4 linked regions of the Caenorhabditis elegans genome follow. The protein of the gene in region 1 purifies or fractionates together with the protein of each later gene. This does not show direct contact. Each region holds a gene or a part of one and is shown on either strand. Other genes may lie near its edges. The genes, in order: F58H1.8, Y106G6E.4, map-1 and F36G3.2.

What was found.
Region 2: the proteins of F58H1.8 (region 1) and Y106G6E.4 fractionate together in Caenorhabditis elegans (co-fractionation; one large-scale study listed by BioGRID). This does not show direct contact.
Region 3: the proteins of F58H1.8 (region 1) and map-1 fractionate together in Caenorhabditis elegans (co-fractionation; one large-scale study listed by BioGRID). This does not show direct contact.
Region 4: the proteins of F58H1.8 (region 1) and F36G3.2 fractionate together in Caenorhabditis elegans (co-fractionation; one large-scale study listed by BioGRID). This does not show direct contact.

The regions. Positions count from the first base shown.
Region 1 is NC_003283.11:11,933,546-11,937,053, reverse strand, and holds F58H1.8 (uncharacterized protein), read right to left. Parts: upstream 1,907-3,508; 5' UTR 1,906-1,906; coding exon 1,789-1,905; intron 1,737-1,788; coding exon 1,640-1,736; intron 1,128-1,639; coding exon 826-1,127; intron 746-825; coding exon 548-745; 3' UTR 525-547; downstream 1-524. Other genes in the region: gpla-1 (Bursicon), read left to right, coding at 1-68; F58H1.3 (Enolase-phosphatase E1), read right to left, coding at 2,068-2,316, 2,360-2,492, 2,549-2,619, 2,668-2,746, 2,799-2,935, 2,999-3,076.
Region 2 is NC_003279.8:10,221,084-10,224,441, forward strand, and holds Y106G6E.4 (putative 5-formyltetrahydrofolate cyclo-ligase), read right to left. Parts: upstream 1,696-3,358; coding exon 1,456-1,695; intron 1,136-1,455; coding exon 1,003-1,135; intron 955-1,002; coding exon 707-954; 3' UTR 559-706; downstream 1-558. Other genes in the region: ced-12 (Cell death abnormality protein 12), read right to left, coding at 1,890-2,031, 2,111-2,348, 2,400-2,626, 2,672-3,022, 3,069-3,358. UniProt on the Caenorhabditis elegans protein: Contributes to tetrahydrofolate metabolism. Helps regulate carbon flow through the folate-dependent one-carbon metabolic network that supplies carbon for the biosynthesis of purines, thymidine and amino acids.
Region 3 is NC_003282.8:3,682,983-3,688,655, forward strand, and holds map-1 (Methionine aminopeptidase), read right to left. Parts: upstream 3,884-5,673; 5' UTR 3,876-3,883; coding exon 3,768-3,875; intron 3,663-3,767; coding exon 3,579-3,662; intron 3,527-3,578; coding exon 3,121-3,526; coding exon of another isoform or gene 3,071-3,120; exon of another isoform or gene 2,638-3,070; intron 2,475-2,637; coding exon 2,340-2,474; intron 1,994-2,339; coding exon 1,850-1,993; intron 917-1,849; coding exon 804-916; intron 753-803; coding exon 627-752; 3' UTR 555-626; downstream 1-554. Other genes in the region: taf-6.2 (TAF6 C-terminal HEAT repeat domain-containing protein), read right to left, coding at 4,860-5,673.
Region 4 is NC_003284.9:9,791,906-9,795,960, forward strand, and holds F36G3.2 (GNAT family N-acetyltransferase), read right to left. Parts: upstream 2,369-4,055; 5' UTR 2,361-2,368; coding exon 2,189-2,360; intron 2,008-2,188; coding exon 1,840-2,007; intron 1,793-1,839; coding exon 1,674-1,792; intron 1,345-1,673; exon of another isoform or gene 1,341-1,344; coding exon 1,145-1,340; intron 1,091-1,144; coding exon 804-1,090; 3' UTR 501-803; downstream 1-500. UniProt on the Caenorhabditis elegans protein: To the C-terminal of C.elegans F21C10.9.

The sequences.
Region 1 (3,508 bases):
AAGGAAACCGAAATCTTCGAATACCATCTGCAACACAATGTGAATGTTTTGATTGTCTTGTTCGATAGTTGCAGTTTCCATCTCTTTCATTTCTCATTCTTGAATCTCTTGAGTTTTACCTGCATAATAGATTTAATTTATTTTCTCTCCTCCAGTGCCACATTCATCCACATTTCCATAAAATCTCGTTCCCTTAATTATTTCTATAATAATCTCGTTGATACGGGCATCTAAAAATGCAAAAAATCAAAGCGAAAGAAGGATGACTGACATAAATTGTCTCAAATGAAACCGAACAAAAACCAAAATTACCAAGTTGATCTCTCTGCGTCTCACATTCTCTCATTCTATTTTCTTGTCTGCCAAACAAAAAACAAAATGTTCTTTATTGAAATAAACAATTGACAATGTTGATTGAATGATACCTCTAGCCAACAGAAAATGAGTTTGAATTGTGCATTATTCATGTACTGTACCTTTGTACTTTGTCCTTTTTTTGGAATATTTTTAATTAAATGAAAAAGAACCTAATAAACTTTTATTTTTCCTATAACCTTGGAGGAACACTCGTTTCGTTTAGCATATAAGATCTATAATTGTTTGCTCTAAACATATCATCTATGATCATGGATTTTCGACTTCCAATCTGAATATTTCCCAACAAGAAATGCATTGCAACTCGGACACCGTCAGTTTGATCATCTGCGAAGTAGAAACCAGTTGTTTCATCTCGTCGGAACAGCTCCTGGAATTTTTTAATAATGTTTAATCTTGTTCAAGATAGTTTTTTTTTTTAAGAACGAAAGTTAATTTTTAAAAACTCACTTTGTGCTGCTTAACAATGAATTTCGACCGTATAGCCATAAACTGCTCCGCGTCATTTTTATTCTGGTATATCCTAATTAGTCGTAACTGCTGAACACGGATTAAACAGGCAAATACAACTGCTAATGCAACTGATGGAAGTGCAATGAGAACTCCAAGTTCTTCTGAATCCGTCACTAGCTTCTGCACAAAATCGAATCGATTTCCAGGACTGTTTGAATTGACATCGAAAGCAAAAATTGAAGAGCCAACGATGAAGGATGGAACAAAAGCAGCAGTCATGTAAAATGTTCTCGATGCTCCTGAAGAATAAGAACAATCAAGAAAAAAAGTGTAATTTTTTGAATTCAGACATAAATATTATATATTTATTTGACATCTTCAGGGTTGTAAATATTTATTTTTTGCATGATTATGGCGAAAATGTTAGTTTTCTCTTTTTTCGAAAAAGAAGTGAGCAAAAATTCTGATAAACAGAAACATTCATAAATTTTTTAATTCTAATTTCAAAATTATTTTGGAAAAACATGCAATTTTGGGCAAAGTTTTAAACTTTTTCTGATAATGTTTTTAAGCAAAAAATCGTTTTTTTTTTCGTGTTAAAAAAATTGTTTCACTTTCTGTTTTCGAAAAAAAAATCCGGATTTCATCGAGAATAGGAAAATCCGAATATTTGTAGAACAGTGAGTTTTGAGAACATGCATTGTTAGTAATTAGTGAAATGTCCACTTTAGCAAAAAACTATTTTCGATAATAAATTTTTTTGAATCTGTCGAATAACCTTTTTTTTACATTTTGAAAACATAAATCTTACCAACATCTCTATAAATCAATGCCCATTCCTTTTCGTCGACGTTGTCTTTTTGGTGGGCTTTTCGAATATTGTCTCTATCGAAATTTTCTCGCTCTTCCTGCAATTTTTTTAATCTTTATTCAAAGTTTTTTTCAATATTTTCAACTTACAGCCAGTAGAAAATTTTTAATTTTATCGAAAACGCTTGAAGACGGACGAGAAGTACAAATTCCTCGATATAGATGCAATGAACTTTGATTTAAATTTTGAAAACACCGTATTATCATTCTGAATTCAAATTCGGAGTTTTGAATATTCAAAAAAGCTGTAAATATATTTATGAGACCAATGAAAACTCGAAATAAGCTAGAAAACCAATTTTTACACCGAAGGCTTTATTAAAGATCTCCAAACAATGTTTCAGGAAAGAATACAATGAATACAAAGAATTACAAAATTTCTTCCAAACTTTCAATGGTTCCGTAGGCGTTTATAGCTTCTTGTGTTAGACCCGCATTTCCAGGACGAACTACTAACTTTGTCTGTAACCCAGCTTTCTTGGCAGCAGCCGCTTCTGCTTCAACATCAGTCAGGAATAGTATTTCACTGGGAGGAATTTTAATTCGCTCGCTGATTTTCGTGTATGAATTGCTTTCTCCCTTCAGACCGATATTTGTGTCAAAGTAGCCATAGAGAATCTGAAAGAAAACATTAAAATGGATTGTGGAAAGAATATTATACTTTGGTCATATCTCCTTCAATTGAATTGGCAAACAAGAGCTTTTGAGCGTGGACCGATCCCGATGAGTAGATGTAGATCGGGATTTTTCTATTTTCAACAATTTTCAAAACTGGTAAAACGTCCGGATATACACTGAAATTGTAAAATTATACAATACGTGTTACTTATTTATTGTCGATTTTACTTACTGTCCTTTCACATCTCCGCGCTGGTAAGCCTCTTCCCAAATGAGCCCCTGGAGAGCTTTCATTGGTGTCAGCTGGAAAATATTGAATTTTAAACACCTTTTCTCAAATACTCTATAAACTTTTTTGTCTCTTTTTATCCAGTGTCTGACATTTTTTGTTACATCCTCAATGCATTCCTTTCTTGGTTCGCGGATCCGCCTGTAAAGTACATAAATTCGATAAAAACAAGCTGTGCAAATTAAATACTAACACAACTGCCACATCATTTTCCGCTTGTTGGTCTGCAATGTGCCTCAAATCTTCAACAATTATTTGAGTTGCTGGATTGTCGTAGTGCTCCTCCAAATAATTTCCAACGTTCTCGAACGCGTATGGAAAAAGCTCATCCTGTAAAAATAAAAACTTTAATTGATAATCAAATGGAAGAAATAGAATAGAAGAAAAAATAACCTTAACAAAGGAGATACTGGTTATTGTACCCTCAATATCTAGGAGCAGCGCGTTGAATTGAATAGTAGTGGTTGTCATGACTGGAATGCGGCTGGAATTTTCAAGAATTGGGCTATTTTGAACTAAATTAGTAGTGAAAGTGATGAAGAAAAATGGTTGTTTTCGTTTTTGTCATGATTTTTGAAACCAGAAAAGAGATGACATTAAAATAGATGAATATTGATTGTGAATAAAAGACAGTGCAAGGAACTTTGCAAAGATAGACGATAAACTACTGATAAGAGCGCAATATTGACGATTATTAATATTTGAAAATATGATGTAGACATTTGGCCTATTTTCTGACTAAATTAGTTATTTTTAATAGTTTCAAACCACATAAAAATGCAAAAAAAAGGAAATTAAGAGGGTTTTTGTGCAATACTTTTGTGAGAGAAAAAAATGTGTCGAGACACCTCTGTGCCGGAGAAACGGATTTCCAGAGAACATTGTTTCGCCATATTTATGTAT
Region 2 (3,358 bases), on another chromosome or scaffold:
CCTTTCAAGCTTTCCAGGGATTCGAAGTCAGAGTGACCACTCGTCAAGCAAGGGAGAAAAAGCAAAGGTATGTTGATCATGATAACCTTTTTGAAATAATAATATTTGCAGTGCGGATCGGGAGACCAAAATTGACCTCGTGTTCAACAAGTTTGAGAGTGAACAATGATTACTATGTATTGACTTTAAATGAATATTTTTGTTCAGTTTCGTGTAGTTGCTCTTCATGTAAATTACAGGGCTTCTATCATATATCGATTTAACTACATCAGTCCTCATCTCGGTCTATCTGAACTGTGTGATATTAGTGAAACCATTGAATGTATCTAATTTTTGCTAATTAATGTCTTCAGGCCTTTGAATCCTTTCGTTTTGTGTGAGCAAGTTTTCAGATATATTTACAGGCTTTTGGGACAATGCTATGCAGTTCTATGGGGCATTTCAGAACATCTCCACAAGTTTTCGTGGTGGGACCTAAAATTGAAACACCTCGGAAGGCTAGAATGCTTCTAACTAATGACTGAATAATCTATGAAAAAATTATATATAACTGTAGTTCAAAAAAGTTTATTCAGTTAACAAATGCAAGAAATTGTATCACAAAACCATTTGAGGAATGTCTGAAAAATCACTTATAAATTGGCGAGAGAAATTTAAAAAAAAATCTCAATATCACAATCGGGAATATTATTTAGAGTGTGAAGCCTTAAATAGTATCAAAAATAATAGTTTCTCCTTCATAGATAACCTCATCAAGTTCAACATCAGTTTCAGAAATAGGAATTGTACCAATAATTTGCTCACGAAGAGCCAATCCTATCTTTTTTGGGGAGTTTTCTGGAAAATGTTTGTGATGAGTGGAGAAGAAGCGATCGTAATATCCTTTTCCATGACCACAACGAAGTCCATATGGTGAGAAGGCAACGCCGGGTGCAAGGATCAAATCCAGTGGTCCTGTAAGTACTTATAAATTGGAGTTATATTATTAAAAAGCAGTCACACCTGTTTCATGATAGCTTTGCCATTTCCATTTCGGTTCTGGCTGTCTGATTCCCCAAAGTGTTGAAGGAAGATTGTCAAAAGCAGTTTGATCCGGAACTCGAACCATATCCATTGCAGTTGAGCCCTTCGTGAACTGAAATTTTTACATTTGTGACTTCAATAAATTATACTTGCTGTACGTGCCTGTCTCCCTGGATTCATATATAATATCTGCCTAGGTACTAATTGCCTGCCTACTACAAACGATTACAGCCTTCATGTCTAGGGGCCTACTTTACGCCTACCTCGCAAGTGCCTTAGTTCTGCCTGGCTACGTGCCTGCCTGCCTTTATTCATAGCTCATATCTGCCTACTTCTTGTCGGCCTACCTGCTTTATTTCTGCCTGCCTATGTGCCTACCTACATGCCTACATCTTAACATCTATTGCGCATCTGTTTCAAAATAAATTTTACCTGTGGAATGAAAACTTCTTTTCCCATTTCCAACGCTTTTTGAATAATCGAATCAGTTTGTATTTCTCCCGATGTACTAACATAAACTGACAATCTCTTGCTCTCTTGAAACCATTTCGATTCAATTATTTTTTCAAAAACCGCCTCTGTTTGACGTTGAGTTTCTTCTTTCGAAATTTTTCCGAGCAATGTCTTCATAAACTGCCTGAGCTCTGATTTTACCTCTTTTATAGCACTCATCTGAAAATGTTGGTCAAAAATTTGTTTTCAAGAGATTCAGAAAACTGTTAGTGGCCTGTAGTTAATGGCTCGTTATTCAAATTAAGTTAAATACACAGTAATAGGCATAAATTACAAAATTTATTATGCACATGGAAATGTTTTGCCTTTCAATATGGTAAAATGCACGTAAGAATGATAAAGCTTGAATATGATTAAAACTTTGAAATAAAGCTTTTGATATCGTCAGGGATCGGTGGAATTTCTGGTTTCTCCTCGGGGTTCGTGAGTTTCACATTGAGAAGGCGAACTCGTAGCTCCATTTTCAGCATTCGTTCAACCATTGCATCGGTTTCACTGAAAATATTTCAATTGGTATTTTCGGGGCTTCCTATTCTTCAGGTTACTGTAACTACAGTAACCAATGTCTAGATACCTTTTAACTGCCTTGCTCCCAATCAATTCAGCAAGACCTTCAAGCCATATAACAGATTGAGTTTCATCGGATGTCAATGCCATTAAAACTTCGCCTTCTTTCATATCATTTGTTGTTTTTAATTGTACACGAATCCCTCTTAACATTTGTGTAGATGGAGAAGAAGTGAATCGAGATGAGCTTGCTTTTCTATCAATCTCATCATTATTTGTTACATCAGCAATATCTTTGATCCAAACTGAAAATAAATTAATTTATTATTTGAGAACTAATTCAATATTCCCCCAACCTTGCCGAATATCATCTCTCTGCACACCTTCCACATAGTTCTCACCATCACATCCAGTTATAGTGAGCATTTTCTCCGATGCATCGAGCTTCCAATGCCAGAAGGCGAGCTTTGCGAGGGATTTACTTTTCTGTGGTTTTCGAAAAACGGCGCCTAACTTCAAATAGTTTAGATGATTTATTCGAACCAATTCCTCCATTTTTGGCCGCAATTTCGATTTTAGTTGTCTGAAAATATGTATACGAATAAGTTATTGGAATTTTCAGACTTACATCACAGCTTCACTATGTAATTGAATATTTTCCTTTCCCAATTGTTCCTCTCTCCAAATTTCTTGCATTGCCCTATACGAAAAAGTCTCCAAATCCGCAGATAGTTCTTCTACATCTTGTATTTCCCGTCTTTTCAGCACATGCCGTAACTGTTCCAGTACAACACACGCAACTTTCTCCATTTCACCTCCTTTTGCCTGCATCTCACGCCATGTTCGATGGAAAAGGTGTACAATACATGCGAATACAGCTGGAAATGGAGTCTCCGTGGAAAAGAGAACTACAATCAAACGATCCAACTCATCACGACCAGGTATTACTCTGAACAATTCTGCGGCAATGTCACAGCACCTGAATTTAAAAAATCATCAGAACATCTTTACGTTTGCAAAAAAACCTCATCCACATTGGAATCAGTTGCCATTTTCCTCCTTCAATCCTCATTGTATTCTCCGAAATTAGCATTCTCAGATCTTGCGGACTTTTTTCTGCAAATTGAACCATCGAAATTGCAGCCAACCGTCCACATCGGTGTTCCCCAATTTGTGATTTCCACATTTCTCTGATCTCCTCGGAAACATCCTCACTGGATTCAATATCAAGAATTTTCTGAACTTCAGCATCAGTAGGAGGTGAAGTTTCATATGCACTAATCAGACTCCTTTGAACCTCAACAAGTTGTTCAAT
Region 3 (5,673 bases), on another chromosome or scaffold:
CTTGTTAGAGTCACCAAAAATGACATGCTGAAGAAGGGTAACGAGAATTTTTTTCCCAAAAAAAACGGTCTACAAGGTATGACTGAAAATTCACTTTTTCTGCTTGAACTTGGCGGTTTCGGATTTTTTTACAGTTCTGTTTTCAAATTCTGAAAGAACATAAAATTTGCTACAAAATGGCTACGGGAATTTTTTAAAAAAGTTAGATTGAAGCCAGAAATTAATTTTCAAAGTTTGAAAAATCTATTAATTTTGCATATAAATTGTGGTCTAGAAGGTATGACCGAAAATTCACTATTTCTGCTTGAACGTGGCGGTTTTGAAATTTTTTTAAATTCTGTCTTCTGTTGTTATATTTGGTCATTAATAAGAATTAGTGAGAATTTACAGAATTTACAGAGAATTGACAATTGAATCCACATCAATGTTAACAAGGCGCGAGAAAAACCACCGTATTCTTCAAAGGCGCACACCTATTCGCATTTGTCGTATCGAGACCGGAAACAGTATTTTTTGCACAAAAATCGCAACATTTTGCGTCTGGGTAATAAAATCAAGGAAAAACGATTTATTCAAGTAAAAAAGGCCAAACAATTCAAAAAAAAAAAGTATAAAAAATTAATAAATCAATAACTCTGCTCAATCTGATCCATAAACCACGGGCGGTTTCCGTCTCTCTTTGTCAGAATCTCGCAGCCAGTGTCAGTAACCAAAAGTGTCTGTTCGAATTGGGCAGAGCGGCGGCCATCTCTCTGAAAATTTAACAAATTTTTTGAATGTCCGCCAAATCAGCAGGCACATACGGTAACGGCGGTCCAATCGTCAGGCCATTTGTCGTCGTGGTAGGTGCCGGCGTTGATCATCGGCTCGATGGTGAACGAGTTGCCTGCCTTCATAACGCCCGTCGCGTTGTTTTCTGGAAAAAAAGCGGGGAATTTTTTGATATTTTCGGGTTTCACTACGAAAATACTGTAGTTCAAAGGTCCGCAGGGATAAAAACCCTTTTTTCTTACATTTCTGGATCTAAAAAGTAGTCAATGTTGAAGAGAGTTTTAATTTTAAAAAAACGTTTTCAGTATAAATTTGAATTGATTTTTAGCAAAAATTTTAAATTACAAAAAAAATTATTTTTCTAATAAACTCGTTTTTTTTTTAAATTTTCAAGAATTTCCGTACTTTTTAAATTTAAAATCTGTAAAAAAAAATTTGTTTTTTCAAGTTTTTTTCTTAACATCAAATTTTTAATTATTTTAAGTTTTTAAATTTAAATTTCTTTTCATATTTTTACAGTCATTTTTTTAAAGATTTCCGGAAAAAATATAAATTTTTCCAATTTTTTTACAGAAATTGATAAAACTTTTTACTTCACTTTTTTCAAAAGTTTTTATTGGAAAAAAATTAGGTTTTTTTTAAAATTGAATTTAAACTTTTTTTCCAAAAAAAAAAAATTTTGGAAACATTTTCTTTTGTTGAATTCAAATATTTATTTTTAAATTTTTTGAAAAAAAATCTAATGTAAACAAAATTGTTTTCAAAAATTACCTATTTTTTACAATTTTTTTGATTTCTTTTCCAAAATGTATTTTTTTTATTGTTATTGGAAAAAAAGTGTTTTTTGTTGAATTTTAAATTTTAAATTTAAAAAAAAACATTTAAATTTTTTTTCAAAAATTATTGATTTTTTACAAGTTTTTTGAATATTTTTTCTCAAACTTTTTTAAAAAATTTGATTGGAAAAATAAAATACTTTTTAAAAAGGTTTTTTGTCGATGATTTTTTAGAAAAATTTCAAATAATTTTTTTTTTCAAAATTATCGATTTTTTCGATTTAAATATTTTCCATACTCACTAGCATAATGCGGAACATTTGGTGCAGTATGGAATAAGCGATGAATACCATGTCCACAGTAACCCTTAACAACTGAGAATCCATTTGCATTGGCGTGTTTTTGAATCACATTTCCAATTTCACGGAATTTGACGCCTGGCTTCACTGAAAAAAATCAATAAAAATTTGAAAATCAAAGTGCAAGCGCGCTCCAATGCCAAAACCGTTATTTTTCAGAAATAGTCGTAAATCCGGCCGTTTTCAGACAGTTTTCATACGTTTTGTAAATTTTTTTTGTTGTTTTTATCGATTTTTAATATGAAAATGATGATAATTTTTAAAAACAGTGCGATTTCAGTGAAATTTTTAAAAATTCCCGCGAAAAAAAATATTCAAAATTACGAAAAATTGATTGAAAACGGTCGAATTTTCGAATTTTACCGCCAAAAACTTTAAAAAGGTCAAATTTAGCGTTAGAGCGCGATTGCATATGTAGCTTTTTTTGCGATACCAATAGCGATAGCCTGTTGAAGACACTCAAATGTAACTTTGACAAGTTTCCTGGACTCCTCGTCGACTTTATCACCGACCAAGAAGGTTTCGTTGAGATCTCCATGGAAACCGCGGTGATAGACGGTGACGTCGACTGAAAATTGAAAAAAATGAACAAGAAATTGTGTTTATCGATTTTTTCATTAAAATCAAACTTTTTGAATTTTTGAAAAAAAAATGACTGCGAAATTCGAATTTTCCGCAATTCTGGCTCAAAAATTGAAGCTTTTTCCAATTGTTTAAAGATTTTCATAAAGATAATTGTTTTATTTATATGAAAATTTACAATTTATATTTAAAAAAAAACATTTTTTACACAAAAGTCGATTATTTTCACGTCAAAAAATTCGCCGATAAATTCCGAGAAATTTCCGAGAAAAATCGATAATTTTTTGACGATTACAATAGTTTTCAAAATAATCGAGAAATTAAAAAAAAAAAATCAAAATGCAATATTTCCTTACAATAATCGAACATTTTCCAACAAAAATCAATAATTACTAGATAAATAAAATAAATTTTCTGGAAAATCAAGTTATGTTATTTTTTAGAAATCAGTAGCTTTTTGACGAAAAAAAAAATCGTCAAAAGTCAATATCGATTTTTCTTCCAAAAATCGTTATTTTTTCAACAAAAAAAAAACGGCAAATTTTAGGAAAAATGCGTATGCCAAAATTGTCAAAATCAACATTATTCCAGGAAATCGATATTTTTTCTGCAAAATCGATAATCCTCATTACCATTGCAAAGATCTCCATTCTCCAACTTTCTCATATCCGGAATTCCATGACAAATGACCTCATTAACAGAAGTACAACAACTCTTCGGGAACTTATAATATCCCAACGGGCTCGGATAACAATCTCGTTCAATTGCCGCCTCATGCACAACTCGATCGATTTCCTCAGTAGTAACTCCAGGCCCGCAGGCCTTGGCGGCCTCATTCAGGCATTCACGGCCTAGTTTACAGGCCACTTTCAGGCCCTCCTTCTCCTCGTCGGTCAATACTTTAATCACACGTTCACTTTTCGATTGACGTTCCTCCAGAGAGACGCCTTGCGGGTGAAGGGCGTAATCCGGGCGGGGGATGTGATCGGGAACCGGGCGACGATCGGTGACTCGGCCTGGGCGAAGCGAGCCTGTGAACTGGAAAATAGGCCGATTTAGGCTGGGGAAATCTGAAATTTTCAGCGCTTACCGAGTAGCACGGCCACGGATTGTACGGCCCGTTGACGTCCGAGTGCGAGAATTTGTGAATCGGCCAGAATGCTTTGAAGCAGGACTGAAATGGTTTTTTTTTTGGAATGAAAAATTGAATATTTTGGAAGATGCAATCGAGCTCCATTGATAAAATGGGTAGTTTTTGACAAATCTCAGCTATGTATACCTGATCACAGAAATACGCGTCGGGCAGTGACATTTTAATGCATGTCGGGCATCGTAGTTTTGCCGGTTTCTGGCATCCAATGCACTTTTTGCCTTCCAAATCGTCCATTTTTCGGGCTGAAAATACTTTTTTTGTAGTGGAAATTATGAAAAAATCATGTTTTTTTTTGTTAAAAGTTGAAAATTTGAAGAAAATAGCTTTCAAAACATTGAAAATTCGAAAATAAATATGAAAAATCCACAAATTTTGAGATTTTTTTCGAAAAAAATAATTATTAGGAAATTTCGAAACTTTTTTTTAGGAAAAAATCTGTAAAAAAATAGCAAAAAATTCAGATTTTTTTCGGATTTATTGGAAAAAATTGAAAAAAAATTAGTGTTTTTTTCTAACTTTTTCTGATTATTTTAAAGAATTTTTTTCAAAAAAAATCCGAAAATTTTAATTTTTTCCCAAAAAAAAATCTGAAAAATCGGATAACTTTAATATTTTTTCCTGAAAAATCCAACAGATAAGGCCTAAAAAGCCCAGCTTAATAACAAAACAAAAACAATGGAAAAAATAATTTTAAAAATTTAATCACAGTTATACCTAATTTAATAATAAAAAAAGCATTTGTTAGGAGGAGTTTCAAGGTTCGGAGCAAAAAAAATATTTAAAAAGAGAGGGAAATCGATGAAAATGGGAGATCTTTGGGAGAAAGGATCACAGATAAACTGAAAATTTGAACAAAAAATTGGGAAAAAAACTGAAAATTGGCACTTTTCCAGAATTTTTCACATTTTCAGAGCTCAAAACTTGAAAATTGCAAATTTTTTCAAAAATTTCCAGCAAAAAATAGGTTTTCTTTTCTGTGCTTGCTCAATTTTGAAAGTTCCGAGTTTTTCAGCGATTTTTTTTTTCAAAAAAACTCCAAATTTTTTAAATTTCCAGTAATAAAATCACTAAATTGGTCAATTTTCGGCTTGAATTGCCAAATTTTCTGCCAAAAAACCAGTTTTTAAGCGGTTTTTTCTCAAAAAAGCTTCAAATTTGACAAATTTTCAGTAAAAAAAACAAGAAAAAACACAAAAAATCAATAAAAATCAATAAAAATCATGTTCCAATCTGCTGCCGTGGAGCTGTCGTCAAAAATCGCCCTCTGCTCATTTCATCCTTCTTCCCAGCGGCTCTACTGGTGCCCACCGAGTTCCTGAGCCTCACAGCCGATAGCTGCTGAGCCGCCCGAGCAATCTCCGAGTCCAGTGTGGCCCGGCCTGATGACGTCATCATCATGCTCCGGCCATAGATAATGGCTCCGGCCTGCGGGTCCTGGCGACTCACAAATCGACGAAGAAGCTCATCCGAGTCCTTGACAACTGATTTCAGCGGGTGATTTTCGGCTGAAGCTCGAGATGCATACAGTGAATTTCCTAGGATAGATTCCCGGGTGAGTGTCTCGCGGGCCCCTGCGGGGCCGTGGCCTGGGATTCCTCGACCACCAGTCTTCGTCGATGGCAGCCCGGGCATGTAGCCAAACTCCAGAGGCCGTAAAAACGAGGCGACAAGCTTCCCATCTTTGGATTTCTCCTTCCGAGCCAGAAATAGTTTGGGCTTCCTGAAAAACGTCTCCTTTTCACGGTCAAGATGAGGCTCGAGCTGCTGCTCGTCGAGCTGGGCTGCTGGCTTCGACCACGGGCGGTTTGAATCGTCGAGAAGATTGTCTAGCATCGCCTCATCGATCATTGGATGGTTGTGGAGCTGCTGCTGCTGATGCTGATGGTGGTGGGAGCTGGTGGTGGTGGTGGTGGTGGTGGATCTTCTGATCCTTCTCCGACGTTCCAGCTCTTCCAGATAGGCTTCTTGTTTTAGGAGCAGTGAGGGACGGGTGATTTTTAGATGTCCAGTATATTGATCGACCATCTCGGTG
Region 4 (4,055 bases), on another chromosome or scaffold:
CATTAAGAAGAATGACGTATTTGTTTTATTAATCAAAATGAAAAACATCAGTTGTTTAATTCTCAAATGTTATTTTCAAGCAAAATTTTGAAAATTTTTATAAATTTACGCTGTCGAGATAATCATTTTAAAACCGAACAAATGTTCTAATAACGTTATGTCAAAAAAACTTATAAAACTTTAAAAAACCGTAATAATTTTCAGTGAGTCAGTTTTATGAAACGCAAAACAAACAGAATCTGTTCGTTATTTTTCCAGTGTAAACAAAAATAAGAAGTAAAATTTAATGCTACTTGTTTGCACGCAGAGCTTATTGAAAATACTTCGATTCTGTTTTTTCAGACTATAATAAAAAAATCTACAATAGAACCACAGAACTAACAAATGCGGTTTTTTTTCAACAAAATGACGTATTGTTCCCACTTCCAAGTGATCATTTTTCCCACCCAAACTGCTTTAACAAACCATATGGTTGCGGGCAGAGGCGGCGGCAAAAAATGTTTGTTCTTCTGATTTATTGAGAAAATAAAAATGTCTCAAGCAAGCCAATTCGGTTCAGCATTGTGCTGTATAATGATAATAATAAACACTAACCAGAATACACTAACCATTAAAATGATAAAAGAAGCAAAAATGGAACAATTTAAAATTTTAAAACATTTGACATTAATAGCATAATTTAGATGAAAAGTTAACATTCAACACAACCTTTTAGCTATTACATTAAAAGAAGTTTTCAGAAAATTAATTGCATAGAACCAATAAATATTACTACAACATGAAATTCAAAACAGAAACAGTCATTAATAATCAAAATGACAAGAATTGTTATGCGCAATAAAAACCTTTGACAAATCGCCCTTGTTCGGCCATTCGTTACTGAAAAGAGTAACTCCACTAACTGCAGGAATGATCTCAAGACTTTGGAAAAATGATTGAAGGAATGCTCCACTTCCAACATCGAGTAAGTGGAACAAGACGTCCGCTTCCGGATGCAATTCGAACATCACTCCAGAGAACACGCGAAGTGCTGACATGGCAATGCTTGGAGAATCAGCATACAATGGCGCAATCTTGAATACGTTGTCTTCTGAAAAAACAAAGATGAATATGTTTTTTCCCGAAAATTACAATTTGGGACAACCTTTGTGCGAAGTGCGGACAGCAGAAATATGAGCAATGATTTTATGATGCTGGTCAAAGAGCACGACTCCGAGCACACAGTCCAGCTTATAATAGAGTTCCAGGAATTCTCGGCGGTTTCTACCGTTGACATCACTATCGTATCGCACCAGTTGGTCAAATTCGACAGGCGTCAAATGACTAACGAGTTTGAAGTTCTGAACAAATCATCAGATTAATATTAAAATTTGAGAACATACTGAAAATGTGTTATGTTGGACCTAACTCTGATAACAATTGTACATAGTTTTTGACAAAATGCAACACATTTTGGCAGTCTTATTTTCTTATTTCACTATAATCTTTTAAAAATCGATATAAATTTTACGTATAGTAATGTGATTTTGATTATAATAATGCGCACTTAATTAAGGTTCTACACAAAAGTTCTTTCTTTGTCGGTAAACTTGGGTAGTATTGAACTTAAATTGAGCAACCTAAAAAAACTACGCTATCCAAAGTCACTTTTATGCTTTAAAGAGGAATCTTACGTCTCCTGTCATTTTTTCCATAGACGCGTGATATTCGGCCACCTTCATTTTGTAGTTTTCGAGCGTTGCTCCGACAAACGGCGTTGCTTTCTTTCTGTACTTGTCAACCATGCTGGGTACTGTAATGATTATGTTTGAAAAATAGTTTTCAATCGAAAATTTTTACCTCCTCGTAGTCCCAGTGTGTGATCGGCAGGCATTCGAGACATTGCGATATCCCAAATAACTGATCCTACGCCTTTCCCACGATACTCAGGAGCCAACAGGAAAAACCCGAGGAAACATATTTTGTTATACTCATTCCAAATAACGCATCCAACAAAGTCATTTTCAGCTGCAAATATATGTTTTAGAACAATTCGGAAAATTGAATTCAATATGTATAAATTTTTCTAAAAGCTGGAACTGCAACAGCTATTATTTTACATTTAAAAATTACTAAAATTTTATTCGATGTACTTTCAAAACGTCGTATTTTCATGCGTACATGGCATTAGTTTTAAAACAATACTCACCAGTTTTAGAGACTGCCCAAACACTTCGTGTTGACGGCATTGATGGTGTTAATGCGGTCACCGAGTTGTCATCAGAAGTCCATCCTTCGGTATCCACAAGATTTTTCCATTGTTTCCATAAATGGCTATTTGGCTCTGGATTCTCAAGAATGTCGTACGATACTTCGCTCATTTTGATATCTAAAAACTTGTGTTTTTTAATTTGAAAATTGATGAGTGGAGGAAAAATTTCAAAAATAATGAACACGTTTACTGTTTGATATTTTAATGAATGAGTTATTATAAATTCTGCAAAATTGAACCTATTTCAAAAACATAATCACAGCAGAAATGTTTCCCAAAATCCTATTCTGCACAAAATTATCTTGAACAAAAAAATCACGTGGTGCCAGGCTGTCCCATTACAGTTTGATCTACAAAAAATGCGGGAATTCTTTGCCCAAAAAATGTGACGTCAGCACGTTCTTAACCATGCGAAATCAGTTGAGAACTATGCGTCACTTCTCCTGCATTTTTTGTAGATCTACGTAGATCAAACCGAAATGGGACACTCTGACACCACGTGAAAATCAGTAATCAAATATATTTAGCTTTTTAAAAAGTCAATTGTAATAATGTTAAACTACATTATCAAGTCAAAACAATTCAAATCACTTTAAATTATTTTATGAAATCTTTCAAATTAAAAATACTCTCTTAAAATTCCCTTTAAAATGTGTTGATTTTTCAGCTTAATAGAATTCATGCAACGCTTTTTTGAAAAGAGTTGGTCTGATTTTAAGAAAGTAGTAAATGTTTGCCACTGGAGCAAAGAACAAAGTATTCTAAAACTCAGTCTTGGCCAAAAATTTCGCACATGTCTCAAGCGTTCAATCTTTGTGCGAAACACACGACTTTTCACAATCTGGTAAAAAGCTTCACGCCGATATATCTTTTTTGAAGAAAAAATGAAATAGATTAATCAGAAAAGAGTGGCCAGAACAACTGAACGAGACGCAGTGAAAAGTGCAAACTGCTCGTCGTCATTGGAAGGAAAAGAGCAAAAAAGAAAAGTGCCGCCAATACATAGGCAGCCGTTTTTATTGCTCACCCAACCACACTCGCCTGTTGTTAAATGTCTTCGAAAATAGTTTGGAACGAATAGGAAAATTATTTTGCAAGGAACGAACCTGGAAGACACTTTACCCAATTTTCTGTATAACATTAAAAAGAGAGAAAAACAGAATTCAACATATTAATGAAAAAAGGAACATTATACACTTGATTAAAATTTTTAAAAAATCAACTGATACTGTTTTTGAGCTTCTGGATTAGAGTACTGTGACACATGCTAATTGTTGAAAAGTGGTGAGTTTAGCTAAATGAAGCTATTAATCTTTCAAATTTTGATAAGCATAACAATTTTCGAGACTTTTTTGAGAAGTCTCTGAAGTCTATGAAATGCTCTCCTCTAAAGTTATTTTGTGACTATTAAGAAACAAACAAAACCGTTACACTTCCTATAACAAGCCTTGCTATTTTCAAACGCTTAGACCTGGCAAAATAATAATAGGAATATACAAAAATGAAATTCTAAATTTGTTGGAACCTGAACTCAAATTAAAAATGTTAAAAAGACAGAACCTACACTGATAAAAAATGTTATACTAACGCAAAGATTGAGATAACTGATAAGAAAATAGCGTAGAGTGATTGACCAAAGTGCAAAAAAACTTTTGACCAATTTGGTTTCCTGCACTTGCGAGGTGCAAATGAAAGTGAAGACAACTAAATTTTCAGAGTGTCCGACCAAAACAAAAGGTACCTTGTGAGAATATCAAGTTACTTCGCCGTATTTTTCCAAGCGGGAGGGGAACAAAAAATTTCA